Linked DNA regions of Xenopus tropicalis. The protein of the gene in region 3 interacts with the protein of the main gene of each other region in a pairwise test. Links are inferred from orthologs where the notes say so. Each region holds a gene or a part of one and is shown on either strand. Other genes may lie near its edges. The genes, in order: coq8a, syp, sh3glb1 and ric8a.

What was found.
Region 1: the proteins of sh3glb1 (region 3) and coq8a interact in binary tests that used the Homo sapiens proteins (3 or more experiments, as listed by UniProt). The link is inferred for Xenopus tropicalis from reciprocal best matches to the Homo sapiens genes SH3GLB1 and COQ8A.
Region 2: the proteins of sh3glb1 (region 3) and syp interact in binary tests that used the Homo sapiens proteins (3 or more experiments, as listed by UniProt). The link is inferred for Xenopus tropicalis from reciprocal best matches to the Homo sapiens genes SH3GLB1 and SYP.
Region 4: the proteins of sh3glb1 (region 3) and ric8a interact in binary tests that used the Homo sapiens proteins (3 or more experiments, as listed by UniProt). The link is inferred for Xenopus tropicalis from reciprocal best matches to the Homo sapiens genes SH3GLB1 and RIC8A.

What each region holds. Positions count from the first base shown.
Region 1 is NC_030681.2:7,734,529-7,738,517, forward strand, and holds part of coq8a (atypical kinase COQ8A, mitochondrial), read right to left. Parts: intron 1,218-3,989; 5' UTR 1,199-1,217; coding exon 1,019-1,198; intron 1-1,018. UniProt on the Homo sapiens protein: Atypical kinase involved in the biosynthesis of coenzyme Q, also named ubiquinone, an essential lipid-soluble electron transporter for aerobic cellular respiration.
Region 2 is NC_030684.2:23,924,137-23,928,125, forward strand, and holds part of syp (synaptophysin), read right to left. Parts: intron 2,979-3,989; coding exon 2,854-2,978; intron 2,687-2,853; coding exon 2,491-2,686; intron 2,239-2,490; coding exon 2,038-2,238; intron 1,827-2,037; coding exon 1,530-1,826; 3' UTR 1,526-1,529; intron 1-1,525.
Region 3 is NC_030680.2:106,586,620-106,590,608, forward strand, and holds part of sh3glb1 (endophilin-B1), read right to left. Parts: intron 544-3,989; coding exon 410-543; intron 1-409. UniProt on the Homo sapiens protein: May be required for normal outer mitochondrial membrane dynamics. Required for coatomer-mediated retrograde transport in certain cells. May recruit other proteins to membranes with high curvature. May promote membrane fusion.
Region 4 is NC_030683.2:110,857,184-110,861,962, reverse strand, and holds the start of ric8a (synembryn-A), read right to left. Parts: upstream 3,065-4,779; 5' UTR 3,006-3,064; coding exon of another isoform or gene 2,997-3,005; coding exon 2,913-2,996; intron 1-2,912.

The DNA.
Region 1 (3,989 bases), on a different chromosome or scaffold from region 3:
CTAAGGGGGCCCAGCCTGAAGGCCAGTTAGGGGGAGATTTGGGGTGAGTGCTTATTTGTGCCCTGGGTACCCCTGGAACTATAGCGGGGTGACTGTTACCCCAATGTTTCTATATATCTGTAACCTTGTTATGGGCTAAGGGGGCCCAGCCTGAAGGCCAGTTAGGGGGGGGATTTGGGGTGAGTGCTTATTTGTGCCCTGGGTACCCCTGGAACTATAGCAGGGTGACTGTTACTGAAATGTTTTCCTACATTTGTATCCTTGACTTGAGCTAAAAGGGAGTCTGGCAAAAGGGGGTGCTTCAGAAGCCTTCTGCCTTGAGGGTGCCCAAGGTACACGAGTACCTCCCTAATGCGGTGAGGAAGCAGCAGCTTTTTCACTCCAGACTCAAACTGCTTTCATCTAACATTAAATTTGCTCATACAGCATTCCGGAATGTGGTTCTGGCTTACTTAATAGTTCACGGTCAGCTGCATAAAGAGAGAAGTTCAAGTTATCTGACTGCAGACAAGACTTCTGAGTCTCACTCACCGCCACAGGGTTGCTGTACTTGAATACGTACACAGCATCTCTATGGCAGAAAACACATTCATGCAACAAATGACGCGCTGTGTGGGATTAACCCCCTGAAACAAGCAGCTTGTGTAACAGTTTCTATGCTTGATATGAAAAAGGCAAAGTGATGTACTGAAGCCAAAGGCTGCACTGGATTTGGATAAACACTGCACTTTGTCAAGAACCCAAACCCGACGTCAGCATTTCTTGGCTTGAAAAAAAATTCCCAAATGAATAATGATCCTGCTTGGAAAACTGAAAATAAGTCTGTTAGGCAAGAAGCCCCTCACAATACATAAAAACACACAAATGTCCTTCCTGTGGTGAAACTAGAACTATAAATTCCATCTATAGAAGTATGTTCTGAAGATGCACTTAGAAGGAAAAACACTTATCTAGGGGCACATTGGGCTTGAGTAAATATCTATTAAAATGACAGGGGGACCATATAATGGGTACTCACCTGCATCTTTCCCATAGCAGCACTGAAACGCTCCTCCACTGCTACCTGCCAACTCCTGGCAAATCCAATGCCATTGACTCCAAGTGTCGGCTGGCGCAGCTGCCCTGCCTGCACCTCCAGTACAGCCTTGCTCAGCTTGGCCAGGCCTCTCATCAGCATCAGTGCGTCCCCCGCCATCATTGCTTATCCTTTCCAACGCCTGTTGGGAAAAGCAGATATGGGTTAAACCAAGAAGGAAAAAAGGCCCACATAGAAAAAACAGTATGGATCCCATTATATAAAACTCAAGTAAATTAGAGGTATAATTTTGTATAAACAGCATAACTATACTGACCGTGAAGTAACACAGCTGACAGACTAAAGGGCAACCAAACCCACTACTCCCCAAGACTCACTTTCCCTTGGAATCAAAGCAAAGCACTCGCAGGCACCCCACACTTGCAATAACTTGCCATAAACTGCACCACAGAGAATTTATGGGCGATAATCCCAGCCATGGGTGACACAGGGCGTTTTGTTTGTGACATGAGTGCGAGATCAGTGGGAGACTACGCAAATACTTTTACGTAATGGGAATCAGTAACAACGCTGGCAAAGTGAATAAAAGGGATCCTTTTTATTTTTCTCTGGAGGGGGGGGGGGGGGGGATAGAGATTAAAGGGATGGAAAGAAGCCATGGCAACTATGGTTCAGAGTGGTGAGAACCTGGGGTAAAAACAAGGTGCTACTGAAATGGAGAATCCCTGGTACAGCAGAACTGCCCAATTAACTGCCCCATTTACAGCAGAGAACCTTAACTCGACTGGAACAAGATCTTCCCTGAAGTGCTGGGGTTTGTACAATAGGGACAATGATTGCCCCTCGTCTAACATCAAGTGCCCCCTCGCTGAGATGGAGAGTATAAAATAGAGAATGGGTTGTTTAGCATATAAATGGAGACTTACGCACACACAGCCGGGTCATAATTAGTGTTATTTTCTTAATTTCCGTCACTGCATGGAACAATGAAATAGAAGTGGCATCCCCGAGTCAGGAAGCAGGGCACGCATACTGCCAGAACGGGGATTCAGCACAAACACTGCTTTTGCATAATCACCAGAAAAATGTATTTTCTAAGCAACTTTTTAATATACAGGTATAGGACCAGTTATCCAAAATGCTCGGGACCAAGGGTATTCCAGATAAGGGGTTTTACCGTAACTTGGATCTCCATACATTAAGTCTACTAAAAAAAAATTCAAAACATTAAATAGGATTGTTTTGCATCCAATAAGGATTAATTATATCTTAGTTGGGATCAAGTACGGGTACTGTTTTATTATTACAGAGAAAAGGGAATCATTTAACCATTAAATAAACCCAATAGGGCTGTTCTGCCCCAATAAGGGGTAATTATATCTTAGTTGGGATCAAGTACAGGTACTGTTTTATTATTACAGAGAAAAGGGAATCATTTAACCATTAATTAAACCCAAAAAGGACTGTTCTGCCCCAATAAGGGGTAATTATATCTTAGTTGGGATCAAGTACAGGTACTGTTTTATTATTACAGAGAAAAGGGAATCATTTAACCATTAAATAAACCCAATAGGGCTGTTCTGCCCCAATAAGGGGTAATTATATCTTAGTTGGGATCAAGTACAGGTTATTTTATTATTACAGAGAAAAAGGAATCATTTTTAAAAATTAGAATTATTTGCTTATAATGGAGTCTATGGGAGATGGCCTTTCTGTAATTCGGAGCTTTCTGGATAATGGGTTTCCGGATAAAGGATCCCATACCTGTATTTAGAATCTTATTCGATATCTGTAACCTTGTTAAGCACTATGGGGTTCCTGCCAAAGGTTTGACCTCCATGAAGCACGCCAAGTGTCAAGTTGCATTTTCAAGCCATGGGAGCTTGTTATAAAAGTCCCCCCCTTCAGCTACTAGTACAATATATAAGCTGTACAGCACTTTAAACTGCTAAAAAAGCAAACACAGGTGTGCAAGAGCATCTAAAGCGGTCGATAAAATATTCTGCAATATTATTCACTCAAAAGACCACAAACCATTAAAAAAAAGCAAAAATAAAACCATTCAAAGGGGACATATTTAACAGTGCGTTTTGCAATGAACCAGGGAGTCTCCACGATCCAAGATCTACTCGCAAACAAAGGATTCATCCAAACGACTGGGTAAATGGCACCCACTGGCACACAGGGCAGATGATGGGCATCATTTTTTATACAAATTATTTCTGTGCAGAAGATAAGTGATCAGTGTTCCTCTGTGGGTCAGTGTGACCTGCTTGTTCCCACTCTTCTCTCCTACATTTACAGGACCAACTTATAAAATTCCGACACATGTTCAATACACTGACACTGTCCTCCTCCCCATGATCCATTGGTTTATGCACCATTGAAGGGACACTGCCATGATATTTATGGGGCACTTTTTATTTCTAAATGACACTGTTACACAGCAAATAATCCCCTCTGCCATTTAACCTTTTATTCTTGAACCAACAAATGTATTTGTAGCTGTAACATTGGTGTGTAGGCGCCATCTCAGTGCCTTGTGCCTGAGTCTGAGCTTTCAGCCAGCGCTACATATTAGAACTGCTTTCAGCTAACCTATTGTTTCTGGAGGAGTCCCAAGCCGGACTTGGATTTCTTACTATTGAGTGCTATTCTGATACCTACTGGGAGCTGCTATCTTGCTCCCTTCCCATTGTCCCGCTGATCGGCTGCTGGGGGTGAGGGGGGGGATATCACTCCAACTTGCAGCGCAGCAGATAAATCAATCTAGCTAAAGCCGAGCATACACGTTCAATACAAAAACTGCATTTTGTATAATATTGGCGCGTGTATGGGCAGCTCAAAGCAATAAAACGTACGTATCTGGCCTAAATAAAATATCCATTTCCTCCTTATGAATTTTATAGAAGGAACCTTAGCATCTATTTTATAATCAGGTCCCGCTTTGTAC
Region 2 (3,989 bases), on a different chromosome or scaffold from region 3:
TGGATCTTAGCGTGCACCTTAAGTGTGAAGACTAGTAGTAGTAGCTACTACTAGTAGCAGCTACTTGGCTACTAAAATAGACAATGCTGATCATTTACTGATAACAGTTTTAGCAGAGGCAGTTCTCAGTATTGTCTATGGCAGGTTATTTTCTGGCGTTCAGTAGCCGTGACAAGTAGCTCCTACTAGTAGCTTTGTTTGTCTTCACCCTTAGTCATTTGGCAGGTGGGGCCAAAACAACCAAAACCAACCATCCACTCACCTGCTGCTACCCCAGGGGCCACCACACCCCCTCTGGGGCCCTTGCTGCCAGCCAGCTCACCGTCAGCCCTTTCCCCTGCACCTTATGCTTACTTTTGCCACAATCGGGGGGAGGGCAGCAGGGGAGCAACAGGGGAGAGCAGGCAGGGGTCAGGTCTGGGTTGACGGGACCCACCGCATTTTTCTTTCAAGTGTCCCACTGGCCCAATCGGCCCCTGTCTATAACTCACATCTGCAAAGCAGATATTCTTGCCAAACAGACTGGGATCCAATCTGATTTATGGACAGCCTAAATAAAGATGGCGTCCCATTTATGTTGCAATGGTTGAGAAGTAAGGCCAAACTGCCCAGATATAGTGCTCAAAACCATCAACCCCATGCATTGAGAAGCAGTCAATGTCGTTTAATTCCAAGCTTGCCTCTGCAGTGCATCCCAAATTCAGCAGGAGTACTTACATCTTTGAGTTCTGAAGGAAGTTAAAGGGGTGGTTCACCTTTACATTAACTTTTAGTTTGTTATAGATTGTCCTATTCCTAGAAACTGTGCAGTTAACCTTCATTATTTATTTTTTATTGCTTTCAAATTACTTGCCTTTTACTTCTACAACTTTCCAGCTTTCAGATGACAGCCACAAACTATTGCTTTGTGAGCTTAAATTTTTTTTATTATTGTTACTTTTATTACTCATCTTTCTATGCAGTCCTATTATATTCCCAGCTCTCATTTGAACCACTGCTTGGTTGCTGAGATAAAGAAAGCCCTAGCAAACAGATACCTACTAAAATACCAAACTTTAGGGCTGTTGAACAAAAAGCTTAATACCTGGAGAACAACAAAAAAATAAAAAATTATTGCAAATTGTCTCAGAATATCACTGTCTACATCATAACAAACGTTACTTTAAAGGTGAACACCGTCTTTAAGCTGTGAAGTCTGCTGTCTATGAAACAGGTGGCATATAGCTAGAAGGAAAAATACTTCTGATGGAGTGGATGGGACAAATAAAAGAGAAATGAGCATTGCTTCTGTACATATAGAGGGGTATAAAGAAAGGCAAAAATATTTTGCCTTTGTCAATCCCTAGAGGAACCAGTCTAGCCTAACCTGCTGACAGATGATTGCAATGTGTTTACCACCACTGGCTGCTCCTAAACTGCAGGAGGGAATGAATATATTGTATTCTTTAGGCAGGTTTTGTTTTACAGCCCAGTTTCATGACACCCCCCACACGCTTCCCCTATTCCTGTTCATGAGGATACTTACCAGCTCACATTTGATTTGAGAAAGAGGTAGGGACCCCCTGTTGACTATATCCCCCTTGGCTGTACCCCTGCTGATTGTAGTCTGGCTGTTGGCCATAATAATCTGGCTGGTAGCCACCTTGTTGTTGTCCGTAGGAGTCTTGCTGCCCATATCCCTGGCCTCCTTGACTGTAGGCATCAGGGGCTGGCTGTTTCTCTTGTGCTGGAGGGGGGTATTTTATGAAGGGAGCTGTCCATCCTGTCTCTTTGAAGACGAACCACACATTTCCAAGCCAGAGGATGCAGTTCAAAAATCCAAAGGCCTAAGGAAAGGGAAACGAAGGAGGATAGCTTTTGCTTCATCACCAAGAAAGGCCTTTGCTGACATTGGCCTTAGTGGTTGACCAGTGACAAGGGAACAGTATAGACAGACCTTACTATGACTGTCCATCATCCTGACTACTGTTGTCACTGCATGTAGAGTAATAATACATATAATACAAGATGGAATGAAAATGCGCCACAGTTACTCACCACAGAGGTATTGAGCCCAGACATAACAGGGTCCCTCAGCTCTGAACACGTCATATCATATTCTGACTTCCTGCATTCTGGGATCTGAGTCTCAATCACCAGCTCTGGGTCAGTTGCCAGCTTTATATCGGACAATCCTTTGGCCCAAGCGCTGGAACTGACCAGCCACATGAAAGTGAAAATGGCTGTTGCTATACAGTCCTGAAATAAAAGGAAACAGGCTGAATGGTTACTGAGAGAATAGACTATGCTGGTATCATACCCTGATGTTCTATAAGGCTTATACTAACACACTATTGTTGTAAGTACACATGAAAAATTTGGAACTGCCAAGAATGAACTTGCAAGACTTGTTGAGAAGTGACCAAAAAAGGGCATTGGGATACAGAGATCATATTGCCTTCTGCTTTCTAACTCAAACTCAGCTTGCCCCCCCTGTACAACAATACTTACAATCATTGGTCCTTTGTTGTTCTCACGGTATTTGTTCTGCAAGAAGATGTACACAGCCAGGGCCGCCAGTGAATATAAAAAGGAGAATACAGCAATTGTGACAAAGAACTCAGCAGATGAAGAGTAATCTCCAACTAAAAAGACCTTCCTAGTGGCACCGCGGCATGTTGGGGCATCAAAATATTCCTGGTGCAGCCTGTGTGACAAAGGAGAGATCAGTAAGATAAGAAGAGAAATTGTAAGCTTTAGCTTTGTGAATGAACTTGAGGTCCATGGACAGACCAGATCTTCACAAGCTGATTTGGTATGGGCGGGGTCTGAGTTTAAAATTGTAAAGTCAAAATCCACCCAGAAATCACTCACCTAAAAGGATATTCAAAGTCGACTTTAATGTTCGGCTTGCTCTCATTTTTGTTCTTACAGTCAATGCTAAGACTGAACTGTCCAGAGTAACCTCCACATGTTGCAAAGGCAAAGATAGAGAAGAGCTGTAAAAGAGAGACAGGGGGTATCCAGAAAAGGCCAGGATGACCCCCAAGAGAATGCATGGGAGATACAGGGCAAATAAGAGAGACTTGTTTTTTCTTTGCAAGAAGAGAGAAAGGTTTATATTTACAGAGAAGAATTGGGTTAAACCAAAGGATTGGGGGAGAAGGTGGAACAAGCAGGGAAAGGAGGGAAAGAGAAAAATCAGAAGAGGCTTTAAACCAACAAGACAGTAGGGATCATTTATCAACACTGGGCAAATTTGCACATGGGCAGTTACCAATGGCAACCAATTAAATTGTTCCAGTGAGATAAACTTACAGTAATGCATTTCTAGTAAATGTATCCAGAATCAAATGAGATTGTGAGCAAAGTGATCCTGGAAAGAAGTGGAGCAACTTGCATAGGGGCTCCTGGAAAGATATAGAAGGAAGGGAGTGAGGTGAGGATGAATTGGCAAAGAGGTGTTAAGAAAAATAGGAGACCTTAGGGAGATCAACGAATGCTCTTGCAAGTTAACTGACTTATATTCCATTAGGATTCTTTTTATTTTGGGCATGTAACTCCATATCCCCAACAGGGGTCCTAAAATAAAAAGGGCAAACGTTTACTGAAAGATATATTTATAAACTAAAAAATACCCTGCCTGCTTTTGGGAAACAACTCTTCAGCTTCCCTATCTTTGTAGCCAGTTATAGAAAACATAATTAAGAAAACATAATTCCAAGTAACTTTCAAATGTGAATTTATTGAAATTTTTTAGTGCTTTAAAAGTTATTTGTAAAGGTAATTGCTATTGGAAGCAGCATTTGCTGAACTCCTGGTTGTTACTTTTAGCAGAAAGGTATGTCAGTCTGCTAGCTTGTGTTACATTGTTTCAAATGCCAGGGAATAGGAAAGGAGAGGCAAATACTACTTCTTATAACAATTATATGTACAAATAAGTCAAAAACCCTTGCTAATTTGTAATGAATGTATATTGGAAAGTTGCTTAGAAATATTTTTTTTTTTAT
Region 3 (3,989 bases):
GCTGATGGGATGGTAGTTGGCCGCAATAGTGAAGATTTATTGCCACTGCCCTTAAGAGCTACTTGCGACACTCAAAGGTTTACGGGTAAATAACTTATGATAGCAGTTCTCTAAAGATTCAGTGGCTTGACAGTCAACCCCAAGCATTCACATTGGGAAGACTAAGACTTCTTCATCTTACATAATACTATAATGTACAGTACTAAATTTTCTACCCTCCATATTTGTTGTTTTAAGTTAAAGTTAGCCTTGGAGTGCTTACACAAACCCTTTGCAGTTTTTAGTTGTAGCCACAACATTATGTAGCAACAATTGTTGAGGGTTTTGTTAGTGTTTACACTGTAGGAAGGAACACCTACAACTTTAATGGCGGTCTTAAGTCTTATAGAGTCGAATGTGTATTACTTACAGACATTGTTTTAAAATCTCCTTCAATAAAATTTCTCAGTGGAGTAAGGAAGTTTATAGCTGCGGTCTGAACAAGTTCTCTGTGAGCCACTCCTATTCTTTTTTGTGTTTCTCCACATTTAATGAGAGCATTTCCTGTAAAATAGCAATTGTTTTATTAACACAGCTACTGCATTATTAAAAAACTTACAGTCTTTTCCTTCAGGGTACAAATCTATAAACATATTAATTAAACTTATTTTGCTTCAGCAGTCTATTTACAAAATTTTTCATTTACAGAGATACAATAGAAAAACACTGATTTCAAGTTGCATTGTCTCAGAGATTTCCAAGCAGTAACTTCCTTTTCAGTTGCTTGGATTGCCTAATGTTGCCATCTATAATCACAGAATAGGTTTTAACCAGCATCGCAAAAAAACAATACTCATAGAAACATGTACCAGTGTGCAATTTTATAGAGGATACTCTTATTGTAGTCTGTAATGTAACCTTCTGTCCTTTGTGCAGAAAGCTGCAGTCGCTTGAATGCTTCTGACCTTGTTTGATTTAGGCATTCTGTTCACAAAATACACAACTAGAACAAAATATGGGTAACTCATCTAATGAAGGAAAAAACAAAGTTTAGCATACTAGATAATCTGAAAAAACTTATCTACTGAAGCATTGCACTTGATATTTAATAGAAAGTAATCCACAAACTCATAAAAATGTCCTTGAAATGTAATTTTGTATGGTGACCCCTTTAATGGGTTTTTTTTTACTTCCAACTCTGCTTTACTTAGCAACGTTACAGGCACAAAAAATATTTTGATATGTTACATAGACTTTAAAATTGAATATATTTTTCCATAGATAGAACGGTGTAAACAAGTTAATTCTGGAATTGGTAGTTATTCATAAGCCACAATAGGGTAGGATTTACTGCCTTTAAGTGGTACAATTTATTGGCTGATTCAGCAGTTTTACATGAAAAGCTTGCAGATTTACCTATATACCCCAGGCTCTCTTTTTTTAGTTTGTTTAAAGCTGGTCCCTCAGGAAAGGTCTTTTATATTAACTGTATATTATTAAAAAGAATTTACAGCACATATTCTACAGTGTATCATTTCACTGGAGTTGACAGCCTTCACTTCAGTTAAAGTTGGGAACCACTTTTTAGGTAAATTATAGTCTTTGCACAGATGCAAAAGAGCCCTTATTTCTCAAAGTTTGTATTCCTGTTTTTAAGACCCAAAGAACAAAATAACTTATAGGCAGGGCCCTTAGACATACTGTGTCAATTTAGAGACATTAGCATTATTTATAACTGCTTAGTTTTTGCCTTTAATACTGTTTATGTTCTCTGTAACAGTGCTGAGGAATTTTGTATTCATTTATAGTATTATTCTAATAATTTTAAAAGAGAACTAAAGCCTACCTAGAAGTAGGGCAGAAATGATGTACATTATATTTTAGGCTTCTGTACCAGCCCAAGGCAACCAATGCCCTTTAGCAGGGAAGATCTGTGCCTCCAAAGATGCCCCCAGTAGCTCCCCATGCTCTTTTCTGCTGATTCCCTGCACATGCTCTGTGCTGCTGTCACTTACTGAGCTTAGGGACCGACTCGCAATATACTGTATATATAAAATATAAATGTCAGAATATAAAGCCGATTAGTACTTAATACAGATAATTCCTACATGGCAGCTCTGAGCCCAGTGCAATTATCATCAGAATTTAATAATCATTCCTGTAGCCTCAGCTTATAAGACAGGCCAACCTCATTTTCTGCTTGATAATTTGTCATGACCACTTAACTTAGCTTCTCAACAGCTACCCAGAGCACACTGAGCATGTGACAAGTTTGTAGGCCTTGATCATTGCTGCAATGGAGAAGCTGAAACTTTCTCCTTTAAAGGGGCCGCTGTTCACCTTTGAGTTAACTTTTACTATGATGTAGACGGTAATATTCTGAGACAATTTGTTGCTAGGCTCCTAATTACCTTAACAACTAGGGAGAAAGATTGGTATATGAATAGGAGAAGACCTGAATAGAAAATAAAGTGCAGAAATAATAAGGAACAATAATAATAAAACAGAAGCCTCACAGACCAATATTTTTTTGGCTGCTGGGGTCAGTGACCCCCATTTGAAAGCCGCAAAGAGTTAGAAGAATAAGGAATATCATTCATAAAGTGTAAAAAACAAATAATGAGGACCAATGAAAAAGTTGTTTAGAATGGGCCATTCTAGAACATACTAAAATTTAACTTAATGGTAAACCACCCCTGCCAGTGCCTGGTAAAAATAAAAAATAATGTGCACCTTGTGAATCCACAAGCAAAAAAGGGAAATCTTTCAATCAAGATATTTAATAGGAGTAGTACACACACATAACAAACCAACCACATACATGGATCAGCAAGTAAACAGCTTTCGCAGAGGAGACTGCCAAAGCCTTTGATACTGTCTAGTGGCAATATCTTTGGGAGGTACTATTACTTATAATCTGGGGCACCAGTTAATAGTGTGGGTGCAAGCACTATATGCACAACCAGAGGCAAAAGTTTTTGTAAATGGGCTCATCTACCTTGGGAGGGGCACACATCAGGGTTGCCCCCTCTCAACCCTTTTATTTGCGCTGGCCATAGAGCCTCTAGCAATTCAAATCCCAGTAAATCACCAAATAGAAGGGCTGAGGCTAAATGCAGGCACTGAGATGTCACTCTACACAGACAATATGCTGCTATATCTTGCCAATCTTGAACAGTCGCTGAAGGCCATACTATAAACAGTGACATGCTTTGAGGCATAGTATAAGGTAAATGAGAGTAAATCAATAGCTTCACCATAGATCCCCCTCTCAGTAGACTCACCTCAAAAATTGGTGGTTAAAAGCTTAAAATACCTGGGTGTCATTATATAGAAAGACCTCCGCACACATACTCAATTAAATCTTGATCCGATAATGCAAGCCCTGACTAATAAATTGGATATTTGGAAGACCCTTCCATTGAGCCTGCCAGGAGTAAATATTTACAAAATTAGGCACTCTGCTTCAGCTCTTAGCTCGGGTGCAAGGTAAATGATTTAAATATCCAAAAAAGACCAGCAACACCGAGTTATGTTCCAAAAACAATCAATTGTGTATTAAAAACGCATGAACAGCCAACGTTACGTTTCGGTCCCCATCGGGACCTTTCTCAAGGTCGTTGGCTGTTCATGCGTTTTTAATACACAATTGATTGTTTTTGGAACATAACTCGGTGTTGCTGGTCTTTTTTGGATATATATATATATATATATATACACGCACACACACACACACACACTTCTTAAGGATGGGAGAACATCCACAGATAGCATTTAAAGGAGAAGGAAAGATGATCAGAAGCCTCATATGAAAAAAAAAATGCTGAGCTCTATAAAGAAAGTTCCCATAATGCCTCGCTCCTGTACCAAGACCGGTGTACAAGCTCAGTTTGTAAGACTATGAGGAAGCTTCCTGCTGATTGGCTCAGATCACACATTCCTAACGGGGTGGGGAAGGAAGTTCTTAGCATTCTTGAGGGAGGGGGGAGGAGCAGGATAGGGGAGAGATG
Region 4 (4,779 bases), on a different chromosome or scaffold from region 3:
GTCACATGGCACTTTCTCAGTCGGTACATTTTCCATACCAGGCATTTGCCATTAAACTCAATGGGTGATCAACACGACTGGTCAAAAAAATAAAAAATGAAACTTTGCTTGTTGACATGTTTGTAAATTTTCCCCATGTGTGTGGGTTTCCTCCAAGATGCTAAAAACACATCCTGGGCCCTGGTATAACTAGCCATATTGCATGTATGTTACTGGTACCTATCAAACCCTGTTTAGCTAGAGCCACACAAGCTGAAAATAGCTAACAGTTCTGGAACAACATAATAGTCCCTCTGTTCTTTGCTTTAACCATAATTTTATCTCCCAAGAGGCCCCTCTGATGCTGTGTAAACACTTTTATAGCCAAATCTAAAAATCAGGGGTCACATGTAAGGCTAAGCTCTATCTGATATAGCCTGAATCCGTCAGGAGCTGGGGCAGTACTGGTCAGGAGCTAGGGCAGCATAGTGATACTGGCAGGGATGCACCCAGGAAATTATTGTTGACATCCATCCTGGAATCACTGCTATAGGTGTTACCACACTTGGTCCAGCCAATAGGGATGCCAATATTTCATCCTGAACCCCCACAAACCTGCAGGTAAACCATAGGTTTTAGACCTGTTTGTGCATCACTAGTGCCATGCTCTTTAACACATTCCCTATTACCTTAAGGGTGAAGACACACGGAGCTACTAGTAGCAGCTACTTTTTCACAGCTACTAAACGCCCAAAACATACCCTGCCATAGACAATACTAAGAATTGCCTCTGCTAAAACACATGTTGAGACTGTTATCAGGAGATGATCAGCATTGTCTTTTAGTAGCCACTACAAGTAGCTGCTACTAGTAGCTCTGTGTCTCTTTACCCTAAAAGTTATTACCAAGTTTGCATGTTTACATAGTTATGGCCTCAAGACTAGGTCCAGACTGAGTTTTAAAGAGCCCCTGGCATTTCAGGTACAGAGAAGCCCAAACAGACCCCTTTAGGCCTAATAAATAGCGACTTTGGTCCCTGGAAACTTAAAGGGCATGTCAAACCTCAAAAATAAAAATTTGCCTAATGAAAGAAAACATAATTCTAAGCAACTTTCCAATATGTTATGGCATGTATATGGCAAAGTTGCTTAGAATTCAGCAAAAAAAACCTATATTCTGGGTTGTCCTTTAAAGCAACCCCTATGGCATTTGCCAGTCCAGCTCAGTTCACTTATAGGCTGTCTTAACATGGCGCTCCCCAACAATGTTTTATATGGCAATATTTAATGAAAATTATTTTGACCCAGAGTGCACAACTAAAATACCCAAAACATCTTCAAGGGAAAGTATGTCCCCAAACTGCATAGTTGGGTTGGAGGCTGCCAGATTTGGCTGTGTCAGCCATTGTTTCTGGTTTCAGGATCAGCTTTCACCACTCATGTATGTATGTATGTATGTATAACTTTATTTATAAAGCGCCACAAGGGTACGCAGCGCTGTACAGTCTTACTCATGCTTCTGCTAGGCAGTCAGAACCAGGAACCCGGAATAGATGCTGGAAAACATGGCAGCCCCCAACCAAAATTGTTCTTTCCAACTTGCTAAAAGCTGAGGCACCTCATATCTTCTCTTATAAACTCACTATTATATACCTTCCTATAAACTTACTGCCTTGGCTCATATACCCCCCACATACTTTCTCTTGGCATACCCCCTCAAATACCTTACCCTTAAAGGAAAAAGAAAAAGGTAAAAACTAAATAAGCTTTATCAGAAATGTCTATGTAAATACAGCCATAAGCACTCACAGAAACGCTGCACTGAGTTCTCTGTCAAAAGATTTGTTGTGTCTGTTTTCCTCTGCCAGAGATAAGCAACTCTCTCCTGCTCCCCCCTCCCTCAAGAATGCTAAGAACTCTCTCCCCCCCTTAGGAATGTGGATCTGAGCCAATCAGCAGGAAGCTTCCTCATAGTCTTACTAACTGAGCATGTACACTGGTCTTGCGCTTGGTGCAGGAGTGAGGCATTATGGGAACTTTCTTTACACAGCTCAGCGTCTTTTCTTCCTGCTTGGCTTCTGATCATCTGAACGGGAGAAATATGGGGAGACTTAAGGGCACTATTGAGACAACTGAAGGTATGCCTGCAGCTTGAGATTAACTCTTTACTAGCCTTTCCTTCTCCTTTAAATACCTTCCCCTTAAATGCCTTACCTCATTTGCCTCCCATATATCTCTTCATACACCTTGCCTTACATACCTCCCATCAATGTTCCCTCTCATCTGTGCGCCCTACAGACTGTGGTGCACACAAAGAATTTTGTATTTATTCTGACCTGAGCACACTGGTTTTAAAAATCCACACACAAGTTTCAAATTTGTGCGCAAAATCTTTTTTTGCACACATAATCAAAAATGAATTTGAGGGAACATTGGCCCCCATATACCTGCTCTCATTAACTCTCATGTACCCTGCCTCATATAGCCCCTTATACTTTCCCATCACTAACCCCCAGCAAATACCTTCCCATTATATACCTCCCATATATGTCATATATATACCCTGCCTCTTATATACCCCCAAATACCTTTCCCTCATAATATTTATATTATATACAATAAGCTCTCCCACCAGCTCTTGCTGAGAAATCACTAGCAGCATAACAAAAGAAATGGACCTTAGAGCTGCAGCTCAACAACAACAGATGGAGGGCCCCAGATAGGAGATATTACAATTACTACCACAAGACACAAATGGCAGCAGTACATACGGTAACTATCTGTAGGGTTTCAGTGAGCTGCTGTTCATTGCCTCACCCACCCCCACTATAGGGTCAATGAGCCCACCAAGCACACGCTTCTCGCTCAGCCATAGCCATAGCCAGCTCAGACATAGCCAGCCCAATCATAGCCAGCCCAGCATCCCCGCCTCACCTCTTGGTTATACTCTGCCAGCGCCTTTTGCACCAGCTCCTGGTCGCCACTCTCCAGCTTGTCCAGGAGGGTACCCGGATCCATGGCTGGCATGGAGGCTGCTCGCTGTGGCTGATGCAGGAAGTAGAAGCTAAATGTGATGAGACTGCTGCTACTGCTGATGCTGCTTCTGCCGCCGCCGCTGCTTTCTCTTCTGCTGATTGACACGGTGACGTCAGAGCAGGGCGGAGCCCGCACCGCAGTATTAGTATGAAGCCCCGCCCACACAGGGCTCACACAGGCGGAAACGTGAGGGGGTCTGTGGCACCTGCTCCTGTGGGAGACCAGGGAGGCTCAGCCAATAGCCACTGAGCCTTATTCTGCTTTATTCCCGCCGCAGCCCGTCTGTGTGTCCATGCATTGGGCAGGGCAGGCTTTAGGCCTTCAGTATATACGTCGGGGGTCCAACCTATAACGTTAAAGTAAAATGTAGTTGAACAAGAGCTTATGGGTTGGCATTTTGAGTATACAGAGGCCTAAAACAGCCCCCTACCAGCCTGATATATAGTGAGCCCCTTGGCGTTTGCCTATTATAAAGGCTTAGATTTTTTATTTGTGTAGAGAGAACAGCATTTACAGTGGTGTGAAAAACTATTTGCCCCCTTCCTGATTTCTTATTCTTTTGCATGTTTGTCACACTTAAATGTTTCTGCTCATCAAAAAACGTTAACTATTAGTCAAAGATAACATAATTGAACACAAAATGCAGTTTTTAAATGAAGGTTTACGTTATTAAGGGAGAAAAAAAACTCCAAATCTACATGGCCCTGTGTGAAAAAGTGATTGCCCCCCTTGTTAAAAAATAACTTAACTGTGGTTTATCAATTTCAATTTTCAATTTCAATATCAATTTCTGTAGTCACCCCCAGGCCTGATTACTGCCACACCTGTTTCAATCAAAAAATCACTTAAATAGGAGCTACCTGACACAGAGAAGTAGACCAAAAGCACCTCAAAAGCTAGACATCATGCCAAGATCCAAAGAAATTGAGGAACAAATGAGAACAAAAGTAATTGAGATCTATCAGTCTGGTAAAGGTTATAAAGCCATTTCTAAAGCTTTGGGACTCCAGCGAACCACAGTGAGAGCCATTATCCACAAATGGCAAAAACATGGAACAGTGGTGAACCTTCCCAGGAGTGGCCGGCCGACCAAAATTACCCCAAGAGCGCAGAGACAACTCATCCGAGAGACCACAAAAGACCCCAGGACAACATCTAAAGAACTGCAGGCCTCACTTGCCTCAATTAAGGTCAGTGTTCACGACTCCACCATAAGAAAGAGACTGGGCAAAAACGGCCTGCATGGCAGATTTCCAAGGCGCAAACCACTTTTAAGCAAAAAGAACATTATGGCTCGTCTCAATTTTGCTAAAAAACATCTCAATGATTGCCAAGACTTTTGGGAAAATACCTTGTGGACCGACGAGACAAAAGTTGAACTTTTTGGAAGGTGCGTGTCCCGTTACATCTGGCGTAAAAGTAACAGTATTTCAGAAAAAGAACATCATACCAACAGTAAAATATGGTGGCGGTAGTGTGATGGTCTGGGGTTGTTTTGCTGCTTCAGGACCTGGAAGGCTTGCTGTGATAGATGGAACCATGAATTCTACTGTCTACCAAAAAATCCTGAAGGAGAATGTCCGGCCATCTGTTCGTCAACTCAAGCTGAAGCGATCTTGGGTGCTGCAGCAGGACAATGACCCAAAACAAACCAGCAAATCCACCTCTGAATGGCTGAAGAAAAACAAAATGAAGACTTTGGAGTGGCCTAGTCAAAGTCCTGACCTGAATCCTATTGAGATGTTGTGGCATGACCTTAAAAAGG